Arabidopsis thaliana: one gene and its partner. The protein of the gene in region 2 interacts with the protein of the main gene of each other region in a biochemical or structural test. Each region holds a gene or a part of one and is shown on either strand. Other genes may lie near its edges.

Evidence for each region. Proteins that work in one complex are often made in the same cells at the same time.
Region 1: the proteins of UBQ1 (region 2) and SUVR1 form a complex in vitro, tested with the Arabidopsis thaliana proteins (one study listed by BioGRID).

What each region holds. Positions count from the first base shown.
Region 1 is NC_003070.9:1,043,655-1,053,129, forward strand, and holds SUVR1 (histone-lysine N-methyltransferase SUVR2-like protein), read right to left. Parts: upstream 6,211-9,475; 5' UTR 5,964-6,210; intron 5,824-5,963; exon of another isoform or gene 5,556-5,823; 5' UTR 5,543-5,555; coding exon 5,360-5,542; intron 5,326-5,359; exon of another isoform or gene 5,262-5,325; coding exon 5,199-5,261; intron 5,105-5,198; coding exon 5,066-5,104; intron 4,977-5,065; coding exon 4,845-4,976; intron 4,769-4,844; coding exon 4,498-4,768; intron 4,352-4,497; coding exon 3,333-4,351; intron 3,224-3,332; coding exon 2,970-3,223; intron 2,883-2,969; coding exon 2,816-2,882; intron 2,726-2,815; coding exon 2,675-2,725; intron 2,542-2,674; coding exon 2,445-2,541; intron 2,342-2,444; coding exon 2,313-2,341; 3' UTR 1,944-2,312; downstream 1-1,943. Other genes in the region: AT1G04040 (HAD superfamily, subfamily IIIB acid phosphatase), read right to left, coding at 1-165; TOM22-I (translocase of outer membrane 22-I), read right to left, coding at 7,178-7,462; PRP39 (Tetratricopeptide repeat (TPR)-like superfamily protein), read left to right, coding at 8,149-8,383, 8,506-8,615, 8,892-9,121. UniProt on the Arabidopsis thaliana protein: Probable inactive histone-lysine methyltransferase that acts as regulator of transctiptional gene silencing independently of histone H3K9 methylation.
Region 2 is NC_003074.8:19,502,175-19,508,824, reverse strand, and holds UBQ1 (ubiquitin extension protein 1), read right to left. Parts: upstream 3,447-6,650; 5' UTR 3,158-3,446; coding exon 3,055-3,157; intron 2,968-3,054; coding exon 2,881-2,967; intron 2,796-2,880; coding exon 2,693-2,795; intron 2,496-2,692; exon of another isoform or gene 2,454-2,495; intron 2,314-2,453; coding exon 2,247-2,313; intron 2,171-2,246; coding exon 2,144-2,170; 3' UTR 1,893-2,143; downstream 1-1,892. Other genes in the region: CWINV2 (cell wall invertase 2), read left to right, coding at 1-1,256, 1,352-1,466, 1,551-1,745; AT3G52580 (Ribosomal protein S11 family protein), read right to left, coding at 4,124-4,191, 4,277-4,406, 4,503-4,588, 4,985-5,030, 5,108-5,227, 5,499-5,501; AT3G52570 (alpha/beta-Hydrolases superfamily protein), read right to left, coding at 6,030-6,285, 6,371-6,511.

The DNA of each region.
Region 1 (9,475 bases), on a different chromosome or scaffold from region 2:
ACAGTATCCTTTCAGGTCCGTCTTGATACCTTTAGAAACGATACCATTTTGGCTTGACGATGAGCCGAGTCCTCTGAGTTGGTTCAAGATGTTCCAGTCACCAGCTGAGACGACTCCGACCAAGAGTGAGGCTATTGTCAGGGAAAGAAACATGGTTCGGTCCATGTTTGAAAGAAGAGTTTTGGATCTTGAGATTTTGATCACAAGTGTGTATGTGTTTGTGTGTAAAGAGGCTTTTATAAGTAGAAGAGTCAAACTGGCAGCCCTAACAATAAAGAAAAATAATTAATACACAAATCTGAATCAAAGTTTTTGGTGTTTCATTATTTTTTTCATAAATAAAATAATAATTTGGTTGTAATTATACATTATAGTATTTTTAAAAATATATATAGTTGTTTACTATACATTCATGCACGATATGATCTAGCTTTCCAACATTTTATGGGAGGCAAAATTATGAAAGTTTAACTTAATATGCGGGTGAAACTAAAAGATTTGGATAAATTAAAGATAATTAACTGCCAACTTGCCAAGAAGTATGATTGTATGAACTTATCAAAAAAAATAAAAAAAGTATGATGGTATGAGCAATTGTTTTCCTCGATTAGTGGCGATATATTTGCCAAAGTGTATAATTACATAATGTATGTAGAATTGTAGATGTATCATGTATTTGACTATCGGCACAAATAGTATACACATTGCAATTAACAAATGAAGTTGGAAATTAATTTTTAGGATTTGAAATGGATACATCATGAAGCAAGTTGGATGATAGTGTGAAATAATTGTAGTTCCAATAATTGATGCAATCAAAATCAAACAGCTATTTAACTTACTTTTATTAACAGTTCAAATCAAACGATCAAACTAATTGTTTTTGTTTTTTTTCCAAATGATGTTCAAAGTAGACATTGTTATATACGTAGACTCTATCGACACCAAAAATCAAATGGGATCACAAGAACAATATTCATATATAAGAAAATAGCAGTTTCGAGTCAAAAATCTAAAGTAAATTACACCAAAAGTTCTTTTAGAACTTGTTAGCATTATGAAATGGAAAGGACAAGATAGATAGATCTAGCTAGAGAGGAGGTGGTAAGGTTATGGTGACAAAATTGATTGAAGAGTTGGAATGGCAGCACATGGATTTTAATTTTAATAAATAAAACCGTTGAATAAATTGATTTGTTGGTTTGCTAGCTAGCAAGGCAAGGATAGATGTCGACAAAATTTAAATATTGTTAAATATATACACGAAAATACATATAGAAATGGTAAAAGTAAAACATGACGCTCATGAACAACTCAAACCTATTTTTAACCAAAACAAAAAAAAAACAACTCATAACTGTTTTTAAAAATTTTCACATATATATTTTTAATCCTAAACTCTTTTTTTCTTCTATGCTGCATTTGTGAAAATTAATTTGGATCTCTTAATTGAATATAAGTAGAGTATAGATATTAAGTCATTAGAAACACTCGGTTTTCCAGCAAAGCACGTATACGACCGATCATGCACAGTTGGACTACAATTAAATGCTTATTATTTTCAACTGCCAATTCAGCTTAAAATTGAATAAGTTAAACATTTACTACAACTTTTGGCCATATTTTGTCAAAATAATCGTAAAATGTTAACGATGAGAATCTCATTTTTCCCGTTATTTTGATCTTTTAGATAATACGTGTTATACATTAGGATACCACTTTCGTAAAAGCTTACTTTCTTAAGCAAACAATTATAACATTCAAAAAGTAGAATGGTCAATTAAGTAACACCGATCATAACATGACAAGAGTTGTTTGTTTATAATTTGTTAATCACGTTTTGATTAAATTTCATACATAAATAGATTATATATATAGTGAGAGAGTTGTTCAACGGCAATTTTTTAGCTTTTTTCACTTGTTTTAGATGAACACACCATATGCACAAAGACAATACAATCATACTTTCCATCTCCATAAACTGAGTGATAAAAGTAAGAAGTAAAAACTTGTCCATCCTAGACTCCTAGTCTTACGATCAGGGATCCGTTGGCCCTCAACAGTGCGGAAATTTATGGTTTACTACAAAAAAGAACGTGGTTTAGAGAGATTTAGAATTAAAGATGGTCAAACTTCTAAATTAAAACAAAAGGCACTGGACCCTCGAGCTATACAGAGTTTGATCACACAATACCCAACTTAAGCTTCTTTTTTTCCCAACCTACAAAATCTATTAACCCGGACCGGTTTGGAGAGTCCCATTCACCAAAAAACAGAGGGTCTCATCACGTCTTTTCTTCTTCACTAGCCTCTCATGCTTTGTTCAAAATCTGCATGGTCTCTGGAACATAACAAAGGTAAAAAAAATTCAGTCAGTGAGATGCAGGATTGATATTACTCAGTCCCATGTAACAGAATCAACAAACTCTGATGATATTACTCACTCGTTGATCGCTTCTTGTTCCTGCAGAATCTGCTACCACACAGACAATCAAAGGGTTTCATTAGAGAGTCATTATCGTTGAAGTCAATGCCATAATCCTGAGAATGTGAAAGGGTTACATCAGATCAATGTATATCAAGATATCAGTAAGCATTAGGAATATACAATCATTTTCATCGGTATAGAAACTTCTCAGCCTAATATAAAATGGATATGCGAAATTATACACACCCATGCGAGTTCCTCCATTGCCTCGATGTCTCTTGTTGTGAAGAATGCAAGCTGGAAAAGATTACAGTTTAAACAATTTCCCCAAAACAGAAGAAACATATGAGCAAAAGATTATATATGAGACCGTCATTGTATCATTACATGATAATAATGCTGATCCGGAGTCTCGACTTGAACTGGAATCTCGATCAAGTTTGCATCAAGACATCTACATACATCAAAGGACAGAAAGAAACATCAGTTTAAAATAGAGAGAAACACCATTGGTGTTCTGAGTTTTAGGGGAAGCCATTACCTGTGGTTAAGGAACCTTGAGATATTTCCATAAAACATCCCATCAAGACACAGAGCTTTGTCACCCTCTAACCTTTCTTCAGAACCCCAATGTGCATCCAATATCACAGGCAAAGTGGGTTTATCTTCAAAGCTACGTTGGTATAACTCCGGAATTGTCAATATCTCTCCAATGTACTCACAAATAAATGCCCCTTTAGGCAGTTTCTCTAAAGTCCTAAGTCCCCAGCCTTTCCCATTTGGCGTGAAAAACACCTGATATTAAGAAAAAAAGATGACTGATCAAAAATGGAAACTAATTGATTTATATAACAAGATGAAAGAAAAACACGTAAAAGATTGTTAGTTAAGGTGAATGTTTTACCTGTAATTTGTTGTGCATTCCTCTTTGCACCACTCGGTTACCGCATCTCTTAGTGCAACCACATTTGAACCAACACTCTTTAATGGCTCCCCTCTTTAGATGCCCTTTACATGGTTCCAAAATCTCAACCTTTTTAGCTCTCTCCAATGGGCACTCTTCACAGAATCGCAGCACCTGTTTCCGTTGATCACGAGCCTCAGAGATCCGAGCTTCCAAGAATTCTTCTTTGAGTAACCCATCTAATGTGTACGCAAACCCGTTATCAACACCAATTGCACAATTGCACGACATTTCTGAAGCCAGGCAGTCTTCGATACAAGAAGTGGAGCAGCTTTGCTCATCAGAGAAACTTGAGAGCGAGAATATCACTGGAGCATCTTGAAACACAAAGCTGTGAGGCATGTAACGGAAACGGGAAGGAACCTTCTCGTTGATCTCATTCACCCATGGAATCTCAACGTTTTCTTCACCAGCCGTAATGTCCTTCATGTTGCTAATTGCTTTCCAGCCATCTCCCGAGATCTCGCATTCAGGAACAACCACCAACGGCATCGAAATGCCAACTGCACCACTTTCATCACCCGCCTTACTCATGTCACATACGGTTTCTGTTTCAAGCAACTGGCTGGTTGAATTCTTTGCCAAGTCTATGTAACAGCTACACATGTCCTTCATGAACCCAAGGACCGAAAACTCGGGGTGAACAATTTTGTACGACTTGAGGCACTTCTCCTCCATTGCTCTCCGAAGATCCTCCATAGAAGGCAAATGCAAATTCGTTGTTTCTCCAGTTGCAGGCGCGAAACTTAGACAAATCTTTGCCTCACCAGAAGTCGAAGAAGCTAATTCAACTGAAGCAGCAGCAACCTTATGCTCACTTGATTCCCCAATAGCTGAAGAAGGAGACACATCCATGGCAGTAGTATCATTGAGAATATCTTTGGTTTCCCAATCCCATTCTTGCACATGTATATTTGATTTCCCCATCTCAAGCATGGGAGCTGAACAGTTTCCTGTATCTAAATAATGAAAAGAAGTGTCAGAAGGAAACATCACAAAAGACAGATCAGGTTAAAATGCAAAGGTTTCAACATCTCATCACAACCACATAAAAAGCAATAAAAGAAAGATTACTAAGTTTTATCTTGAGTTCATGTAACAATACCTGAAATCACAGGCTTATGATCGATATTGGGTTCATCATTGAGGATAACAAGTGCACTGGCTTCAGAAACCTTCGTTTCCATAGGATGAGCTGGCAATAGAACCATTGGTGGTACTTCTTCGGGCTCCATTGACAAGCGACTGCTGGAGCTAGGACTTGCATTGTTATAAACAGTCATTGCCAACCCTCGTTCACCATTTCTGCGTACGTACCTCTTTAACGGAGGTAATTCAGTCACACCATCATCTTCATCTTCCTCTTCAGGCTGTGTCTGTTTCACCGAAAACAAAATAAACACAGGCTATATAATATGACCAAGAAACCCGAAAAACAGATACTAAACATACCTTGAGATCCTCGTTGTTATAGGAAGATGAAGATGAAGATGAAGATGAAGCTCTTCCACGTCTACTGCGCAACCTCCTTTTCAATGGAAATTCATCTTCATCCATATCGTCCTCTTCATCTTGTACCAAAGGCTGAGTTTGGTTTAACCAAAAAAAAAAACAAGTTAATGTTTCATGATGATAACAAATTCTAAAACAACAAAGATATTTAGGTCGTATACCTCAGGAGCTTTCCTCCTTCCCCTGCTCGTTGCTACACTCTAAAGAAACAAAAAAAGATCATCAAAACCTTGAGAAGAAACAACATCAAAAAACACCAGAAAATTGTCATCAAATTAAAGAAAGTTAACTTACTCTGGACTTCTTTTCCTCTTCCTTCTTCTTCTTTTCCTCTTCCTTCTTATTTTTTTCAGTGGACTACCATATGACATATCAAAGAAAGAGAACTGACTAAGTGAGAATATGTAAACAATCAAATAAAGAAAATAAAAAGTGATTAAGCAGAAAAAACAGACCTGGGCATCAGCCTCGTCGAAGATTGCATCAAGAAGGACCTTATAAGCATCCTCTTCAATGAAATCCCAGTTATTCTCATAGGTCTTGAGAAGTTTCCTGAGAAAGGCCCTTGTTTTCGTCTCTGATATTCCTAAAAGCTTCATCGCGTCACAGGCTTTCTTAATCCTAAGATTCGGTGCCATTTTCAACAAGTTTCTGCAATAACAAAGCTGAATCACTCACCAACCTCAAAAAACTTCAGAAATAAACATAGCAAAGTAACAAAAGTGGAAACTTTCATCTTCCTGCCCCACCAATAAGAGCGAAACCAGAGAAGAGAGTAAAAGAGTTAGATGTGTAACGAAACTAATGTGACTAAGACCCTGAATTTTGAGATGAAAGCAAACAAAAAAACAAATGTAGGAAGAGCCATTACCAAATACTTATTACCCACCAAAAAAATTGGAACTTTTTCTGTTTTTTTTTTTTTTTTTTTGGAAAACCGAAGGGACAACAAAGTACCAAAACCCTAAAACGTTTCAATTTTCCAGAATAAAAAAAACGAGTAGAGGTCTCGAAACGGAAAAGATTGAAGCTTTAGCAGAAAAAATGAGAAGAACTTACAAGCAAAAGAACCAACTCTGAAACTGATTTAGGGTTTTAAGAGGGTGAGACTCTGTAGTGAGAGAACCGGATTTTCGACTTTCCTCAGAGAAGAGAATGTAGTGAAAAACTGATGGTAGATTTGCTTATGCAAAGCGTATTTTTGATCAATGTATCTCTCTGTCCAAAGAAAGACGACAATTTGAAACTTTAAAAGACGAAGTGAGGAAAGAAAAGTGTATACTCTCCACGAAGGAGAGTCTTCAAAGATTTGAGAAACGCAGCGTTTGGGAGTCGTCATTGACTTTTTCTGTATGAGGCGAATAAGACAAACTAAAAGTGAACCTTTCTTTCTCTCTATGCAGTGTCAGTATGATTGACTGATTTTACTCCTTCGAGTTGACTGGTTTAACTCCTTTAAATCATATGGGCTTCATCAAGTATGGGACGGCCCACAACATATGTTTTTTCTTTTAAGCGATTGGGTCCAGGACAGACAACGTTTTGTTCTACTACAATTGAATAACCCAGGGAATTCAAGTATGATTTCAGTTTTTGGTTTAAAGTAGAATTTTGTATAGTTCTTTTGGTTCAAGTGTGAAGGCGATAGGGGAAGAATAAAATCAAGAGATTCAGTAATCAGCAAGTCAGCTAAACCAAAACCCTTCATGCAAACAGAGTCAAAATACACATTGAAAACTGAAAAAGTGGGAGTCAAAGGTTTTGTCACGAAAAGAGCAGTGATGCTAACAAGATATTTGCTGAACAAAAGAAGCATCATCAAGGTTTAGGCAGTCTATTTACAGGCCTTGCCATGTAAAGGAGTGATGATCAAATCAAAATTTGAACTAAATGGCATAAATGTTGACGAGAAATTAAGACAAGTGTAAACAGCTAAGTTTACCAAAGATCCTTACCTATATTCTTAACCAGATTGCCAAATAAAATTTCGAAGATTGATGCTCCACTCAAAGTGAGTCACAGCTATGAGATTAAAAGAATAATCACTTGTACGGAGAAAATCTCAGCCCACATCATAAATTGCCAAATAAATTAGAAGAAGATTGCTCAAACACAATCTTCAAAATAGCCAATTGAAATTCATCAAATCCCTTATGAGTAAACCTAATCTTACACAAGGAAGGAAACTAACAGCTTCTAATCGAGTAGCAGAAACAAGCATGATAATATCAAATTTATGATATGATCGACGGATTAGGGTTTCTAAAGTTACTTTAGAGCATCGCACCGACCGGTGGGGTTCCGAGAAGACTCGCCTGCTCAAAATCTATCTCGCCTAATCGATGATCTTGCTCCAACTCTAAGATCAAAGGCACGGCAAGGATGAGAAACGTCGTACCGGCGATCCACGCCGCCTTCCCGGTGCTCTTTAACAGCTTCTTCGACACGTAGACGGCATCGCAAGCGGCGCGTCTTCCCTGAGAAACGATATCGTAGTTTGAAATCTTCGCCAAGATGCTCGAATCGCCTTTGCCGGCTCCGATTTTCTTAGGCGCCATTGATTGAATGAAATCGAGAGAGATTGAAAAAGTTCAGACTAGAGACGACGACGAGGGTTTCACTTTGAAAAATAAAATTGAAAGGGGATCCTCGGCTTTAATAATGTACGGGTCAGTAGGCCCATTAAGAAATCTAATGACCCATTTACTTAACGGGCCAGATTGAGTTCCAGTGTGCGCCGACCAACACGATACGCGTCGCCTTTCGTTTTGGTTCGTCGTCTCTAACCCTATACCCCCCTCTCTTCGTGTGTAAACGAAACACACCAAAATCAAAAGCTGAGAGCTCTCTTACATTGAAGCTACTTTCGAAGATAGCATTCACTGATTGGTAAAGAGTTCTAGAAGCGACGAGCATCTTCTTTAGTTCCCGAGGTACATATCCTTTTCTCGTCTCTACGAATTGGGAACAAAACTAGGGTTTTACATTAGCTCATTTTTGTCGGGTTTCTGCTTTTGTTTCGGTTGTGGTTTAGATTTTTGTCCTATTGTAGAAACTTCGTATCATGCTTTCCTGGTTGTGATTCATAGGAAGATAGAGTGAATTTTGCTTTACGCTAATCTTATTTGCTTGCATTTAATGAAATCCTTCGATGAGTTTAGTATCAGTCTTCTGTGTCTTTAAACTGATTCTGTTCTTATGTGAATGTAGTTTTCTGCGTTTGAGAAGTCTGTTCTAGAAAGTAATGGGTGACAGCGAGGCCATGGTTTCCGAGGGTTATACTTCTGCTCCATATGGAGACTATAATGCTTCTGCTGCTACTGTGGAATCGACCGGGCAAGAGACTGCACCAATTGTTGATGCATCACACTCGGTCAACAATGATTCTTTGGTCAATGGTACTGCGCCAGTTGAGAACGGAAGTGCAACAGATAATGTGGCTGTGACTGCTCCAGCAGCGGAGCATGGAGACAATACTGGTAATTTCTTCTTCTTTTTGAAAGCTTGTATGAGCACATATTGATTCTAAGAGGCGTCACTAGAACCTGATCTTAACTTCGATGATGATAATCCTTTACTTATTCCTTCTCTCTTGTTACAGGCTCTACACTCTCAACGGAAGAGGAGCGCTTGTGGAATATTGTAAGGGCAAATTCTTTAGAGTTTAATGCTTGGACTGCCTTGATTGATGAGACGGAGAGGATAGCGCAGGTATGTGTGGAGTTACATAATGAATCTTATTTTTCCGGTTTTCCCTATGTACTCTGCTCTGAGTCCTCTGACCTTCGTGGTGACGTAAATGTTTGTCATCTGGATTATGTTTCCAAAACTTGTTTGCTATTTGAATCTTAAGAATGAGTATTCCGTTTTTATTTGTACACCATAAGTCGCTGTCATCTTTCGGTATATTTTTTCTAACTTTTACTGTCAGCTACTTGATTAATTTGCTCTAGATTGTTAATGTTTTCCTTGCTGCCCTGATTACAGGACAATATAGCAAAAATCCGGAAGGTCTATGATGCTTTCTTAGCTGAATTTCCTCTGTGTTATGGCTATTGGAAAAAGTTTGCCGATCATGAGGCTCGGGTGGGGGCAATGGACAAAGTCGTGGAGGTTTATGAAAGAGCAGTGCTGGGAGTGACATATTCAGTGGATATCTGGTTGCATTATTGCACTTTTGCCATCAATACATATGGAGATCCAGAAACGATCAGAAGGTAATGAATGCTTATTCTTCTATTTGTATGTGTATTAACAACTTGGTGATTTTCCAATTACCTAGACAAAATGGTTTTACCATCTAACCCTTTTTTTAGATTGCTACAGCAAGTCCTCTCGTTTGTGGCGGAAAGATCTGATGGAATTAATTTTAAAATACTTCGTTTTTCTATGTTCGACACACTAGCTTTTAGCCTCCTTCCATTGCTATCTGATATCTTTATCTAAAACTGTTCCCTTTTTTGGTGCTCGTTACTTCTCTGGTTTAAAAATTTTGATGTTAAAATATATCTGTTTTAACTGTCACCCTCCCCCGAAGTTCAAAATGCTGCTGGAAAGATGTCAACCAGTTT
Region 2 (6,650 bases):
AAGGGAGTTTACCATCTCTTCTACCAATACAATCCCAAAGGTGCGGTTTGGGGTAACATTGTGTGGGCTCACTCGGTTTCTAAGGACTTGATCAATTGGGAAGCCCTTGAACCAGCCATTTACCCATCCAAATGGTTCGACATCAACGGTACATGGTCCGGTTCAGCTACCCACGTACCGGGAAAAGGACCGGTTATCCTCTACACCGGTATCACCGAGAACCAGACTCAGATTCAAAACTACGCCATTCCACAAGATCTTTCCGACCCATACCTCAAGACATGGATAAAGCCAGACGATAACCCCATCGTAAAACCCGATAATGGCGAGAACGGATCCGCTTTCCGTGACCCGACCACGGCTTGGTTCAACAAAAAAGATGGGTATTGGAGAATGCTTGTTGGCTCAAAGAGAAAGAACAGAGGAATTGCTTATATGTACAAGAGCCGTGACTTCAAAAAATGGGTCAAAAGCAAACGTCCTATCCACTCAAGAAAGAAAACCGGTATGTGGGAATGTCCCGATTTCTTCCCGGTATCCGTAACCGACAAGAAAAACGGTTTGGACTTCAGCTACGACGGTCCAAACGCCAAGCATGTGTTGAAGGTTAGTTTGGACTTGACCAGATACGAGTACTACACTCTTGGAACGTATGACACCAAGAAGGATCGTTACAGGCCAGACGGTTACACTCCTGACGGTTGGGATGGTTTGAGATTTGATTATGGTAACTACTATGCGTCAAAGACATTCTTTGATGACAAGACGAACAGAAGAATTCTTTGGGGGTGGGCCAATGAATCCGACACCGTTCAAGATGATACCGTGAAGGGTTGGGCCGGAATTCAGCTTATCCCAAGAACAATCTTGCTTGACTCTAGCGGTAAGCAACTCGTGTTTTGGCCTATTGAAGAGATTGAGTCATTGAGAGGAAAGAATGTCCAAATGACCAACCAGAAAATGGAGATGGGCCAACGCTTTGAGGTCCAAGGAATCACTCCTGCTCAGGTGGATGTGGATGTGACATTCAACGTTGGAAATCTAGAGAAGGCCGAAAAGTTTGACGAAAGCTTCGCAACTAAACCACTAGAGTTATGTAACTTGAAAGGTTCGAATGTGAATGGTGGAGTTGGTCCTTTTGGTTTGATCACGTTGGCTACATCTGACTTAGAAGAATACACTCCTGTTTTCTTTAGAGTCTTCAAAGATGCCGCATCCAACAAGCCTAAGGTTCTCATGTGCTCTGACGCCAAGCCGTATGTTTTCCTAACTCACTAATTCAATTATTTATATATGATTTTTGTTAATTACAATTTGAGAGTGTCTAACATTAATCACAATAAATCAACAGTTCGAGTCTCAAAAAAGACACCGGGACTGACGCCAAGGAGAGGATGTACAAACCATCGTTTGCTGGTTTTGTGGATGTCGGTCTCCTTGACGGAAAGATCTCTCTAAGGAGTTTGGTACGTCACAAACTTAAATCATTTTACTGAATATTACTCTTGTATAGAGAAGCAAATAGGTAACATAATTGAGTGAATTTGCAGATTGATCACTCGGTTGTGGAGAGCTTTGGAGCAAAAGGAAAGACAGTGATAACATCTAGAGTGTATCCGACAAAAGCAGTAGGAGAAAAAGCTCATTTGTTTGTCTTTAACAACGGCTCACAACCTGTGACCGTAGAGAGCCTCAATGCATGGAACATGCAGAAGCCTCTGAAGATGAACCAAGGTGCAAAGTGATCACATCATTCTTTAATTTTTTCGTTGACAAATTTAATTCATTCGTTAAAACAGAGAGTCTGTCACAATATATTGTAGAAAAAAGGAACCTATTGTGTTTCTTTTACAATCAATACAATTTGTACATAGTTTATCACTACTAACAATGTATTGATCTTATATTTTATTAATGAAACACGTCTCCTAATCACATAAACGGTCATTATTTCACGATACTTGTATAGATTGGAATTAAGCAAGAATCTTCCGTAATCGATTCAGAATAATAGAAAACCAAATCCTTTTACTGACATTATCTTTTAACATAGAAAGTCACTGAAACAAGAAAAACAAACCCTATCAAAGGGAAGACAACAAAAAAAAGCAAGCAAGAGATGGGATTCTTGATAAGAGTCTCTCTACTTGATCTTCTTCTTAGGCCTCAACTGCAAATAAAAAAAGTTTGTTCAGATATCATTTCAGCTGATAAACACCAAAAAGAAACAAGTAACAAAAACAAACCTGGTTGCTGTGACCACACTTCTTCTTCCTGCAGTTGACAGCTCTTGGGTGAAGACGAGCATAGCACCTACCAAAAGATGCGAAATTTACATTAGAATAATCTCATTGAGACATCAGATCGGACCATAGATGACAAACTATCCAACAAACAAGATGTTTCAGCAATCAAAAATACAAGCTTCAACACATTTTCAAAACCATTTGCAAAAATGTACCATTCAAGAAAATCATCTGGAAAGATGAGAAATTTGACCAGCTGACAAAGTTTAGAGAATGGAAATGTTTGATATTGGGAACATTTATAACCTCAACACGCATTGTATAAGGCTTGAGAAGCTAAGTTAATTCCCATTAAAACAACTAAAACCCTAACACACTAATAAACATTTGGTACTTTGAACTATTAATCAACAAAACTACAATCTTAGGGAGAAATTGAAACTTACTTGCGGCAAATCATCTTATCCTGATTGTACTTACGAGCAAGCATCATCAAGGAAGGCTCAATAATACCTCCTCTAAGCCTCAACACAAGATGAAGTGTAGATTCTGTTTACAAATGATAACAATCCATTAGAGTTTATACAATCAGATCATCGAAATGATCAACAGAAGGATTCGGATGATTTCGTACCTTTCTGGATGTTGTAGTCAGCCAAAGTACGGCCATCTTCGAGCTGCTTTCCGGCGAAGATCAATCTCTGCTGATCCGGAGGGATTCCTTAAAGGAGAAACAAGTAAATGATAAGAGATCTGAATTTCAAAAAGCTAAAGAGAAGAATCCAGATTGAGTGAGGAAGAATGATACCTTCTTTGTCTTGGATCTTGGCCTTGACATTGTCGATGGTGTCGCTGCTCTCGACCTCGAGAGTGATGGTCTTGCCGGTCAAGGTTTTCACGAAGATCTGCATCTTTTGTGTTTCGTCTTCTCTCACGTAGAAACCCTAAACAAGGAGGAGGCGGGTTTATATATGTCAATGTACGCGTCTAGGGTTTTGCTAATATTGGGCTAGGTTACAGGCCTTTACCACAAAAGGCCCAGCCCACTTTCCAAATTTGCATTTCTACCTTATGCCTTGAGATTTGAGTGGGCTTTTAAGATAACATTTTAGATATCTCTCTCATTAAAAGACCACTTCTCGTTAGTCGAAGGTTTCATATGCACAAAACCTATGAGATTGTTGGATCTTGGTCAGGGTCTGATACATAGAGTAGCTATAACAAATCGTTTCTATCATTCCCAAGGTCCAAAGACACTACATGATTCTAAGATTTATTTGTCAAAAATTTCACCTTCTTGCTGATGATGAGGCGATTGACAAGAGCTAACCAAAAAACAGATCCAAACTTAGCTAAGTCTAAGATGGATATTATTAGATCCGGATAAACCGGAAGAAGGTCCGACAAAACGGAAAAGGAGATCCGATCTAAATCGGAAAACGAAATATGTTACAAAACAAAAAAAACAAAGATACATTCCGGTCAACCGGAAATCGAACTTTTTCTCTCTAAAAGATAAAGGTGAGATAAGAGAGAGAAAGTTTGTTTTCTAAAATTCTGTAGTCTATGTTCAATTTGTGAAATATCCCGGGATATTACAAAATTACAACCAAATAAAAATATTTTATCAACTCCAATCAAAGATTTGGCACCTAAGACTTTACAAAATCATACAGCACAAATTCAAGGTTTTTTTGTGAGATAAAATGACTACCAATTTTTGAATATCTTATGGTCATACAGAAAAAGATCCAAAGCTGTTCAGAGTTGAGACTATAACAAAGCATAGTAATTCCAAAACTCTTTTCAAACTAAGAAAAAACAAAATGAAACATTGAGAAAGCTACATAAGGAGATCCAACGAGAGGCCAAATAACTCAGAGCCTCCTTCCTCTTCTTCCACCCTTTCTGCGGGTACTGTCGGTTGGGATTGGAGTCACATCCTCTGAGGAAAACAAGAACAATGTCAGAGATTTATTCAATCAAAGATGCAATTAAACAATTACAGTTGAAGATTGCTGCTGTTTTACCAATGCGACCAATTTTCATGCCAGAACGGGCAAGGGCTCTTAGAGCAGACTGAGCACCAGGTCCAGGGGTCTTGGTCTTGTTACCACCAGTGGCACGGAGTTTCACATGTATGGCAGTGATTCCAAGTTCCTGTGTTGCATAAATATATTCACCAAATCGATTAAATATAGAAACATAAAAGATTATCAAGTTGTCTGCTTGGTAATGCAATTTCTTTGCCTTTACCTTGCATCGCTGAGCAACATCTTGTGCCGCAAGCATAGCAGCATAAGGTGAGGACTCATCTCTGTCGGCTTTCACCTTCATTCCACCTACAGAAGTAGGAAATCGAAACAGCAATTTTAGCAACCCATTGTTATTTAAGAACAATGCAATTTCCAAACAGATAAACAAAAGGAATTCCTCAAAAGTTAAACGAACAAAGACTAAAGACACTTCAGCTCACACCCTATAGAGAAGACCATAATACTAATAACAATGGTAACTAACTTAGTTCTATAAGCAGGAACATTGATGCCGTCAAGAACAAAGCAATTTCTATAAAGATATCAACGGATTCCTCGAAAAAACTTAAAAGAGCAGATACTAAGCAGAACCTTTAGGCAGTCAAGAACTTCATTTCACACTCAACAGAGACTACCGCATACAAGTTAACAAAGGGATCATCACCAAAGGATTAGAGAGTGAGAGTTGAAAGAGATGATTACCAGTGATGCGAACAAGTGTTTCCCGTCCAGACAAATCAGTCACGTGCTGCAATTGCAGATATAAGAAGTTCAGAAATGTACATAAAAATCTAACTTTGCTTGAAAAATAAAGAAGCCACTCACAATGAAAGTGTCGTTGAATGAAGCAAAGACGTGAACAACTCCAAAGACTTGCTCTCCTTCACGAACAGCTGGTCCAAGAGTCACATTCTCAACCTTTGGCTCTTTGGTCTTTCTCTTCGACTACAAAACCAAACAAAAACTAGCATTATGCATTTGCAATATCTAATAAAAACTTCTCAATTTGATAACTCAACGCTAGAGCCACACAAAAAAAATCCAATGTCTCAGAAAATTCATATGATCTCAGATCGAAATTCGAAGAATAAGGATTGCTTATTAAACATTTTCTCACTTCAGACCACCACACAATACCAGAAATGGATTTACAGATTATATATCTTCTTAATCACTAAATCCATGAAAATTAATTATAAGCTTTAGACAAACTTACCATGGTTTGGAACAGAGAGAGGTACAAAGGGAAGCTAGGGTTTCTTTTGTTGTTCCGCCTTTTACCTTTAGCTAGCGAAAGAGACGGATCAGAATTTGCTTTAATAGTCTGAATTTTTGTTAGGGTTAAAGTAGTGATTTTATGGATAATTTAATTGAGACCCAATATATATACAGACCCAACATATTACGGCCCATAAAAGTGAGCAAAAGTGCTAGTTTTTGAGCATCTTGGATTTTTAATCGTCTCTAGTCTTCTTACTGGTGTTGTGCCTCGTACTAACGTAGCAGTCATTGTCTTTCAAATCTTGTGTATAAAGTTATGAATGTGATAAGTTTATTGATGTTATTAGATCCTCCTAAACGTTTGTACATTGTTGAAAGGATATGCTAATGCAAAATTAGGAAACACAAACGGGAAAAACCGCGCATCGTCAAAATAGTTGCGATTGGATTTGCTATTTCTGCATATAGATACTGAACAGGAGTGAAATTGTAAGCAAAGACTAATGCCATTTTCGTAGCGCATCGTCTACTCGTGTGGGGAGAAGAAGTTGGGACTCACAATCTCTAGGAGTCCCTTTGGATTGTCTGTGTGTACCCAATGGCCAGAGTTACGAAGAAGATGAGTCGCAACCTTCCCTTCGGCTACATTCTGTCTCTGGTTAGCTATTGTTTCAAGCCGCTTGGTTGTATCGTTGTCCCATCGGTCACTCTTTTCTGCAATCACAAAATTTATCTCTGTCTCTTTTGGCGGGTTCTCTAGCAAAGACCAGTAAGAAGTCTCTCTGCAGTAGGAAAGTAAAAAGTCAAAATCTCGAGGAAGGTTCATAATATAATCATAGTCATTGGTTCTTAGGAAGGGAAATAAACCTGTAAGAGTTGAACATTTGGACAGCTCCGTCAAGGTTAAAGGTCCATGTCTCTGAGTCTCCAGATCTCTTGAGATTGCTGCCAATCCACTCGGATAATGATCTTGAAAACCCAAGTTCGACCATACGATCAACAAGCCACCTAGAATCAGAAAACAATGTTTGAGTGACACCAAGGTTGGATTCTATACTCTGCAAGCTGAAATGAGCCTCATTTATATATGTAACATAATCAGCTAGAAGCGATCATATAAGCATGCTCTTTATTCCCACTTATCTAA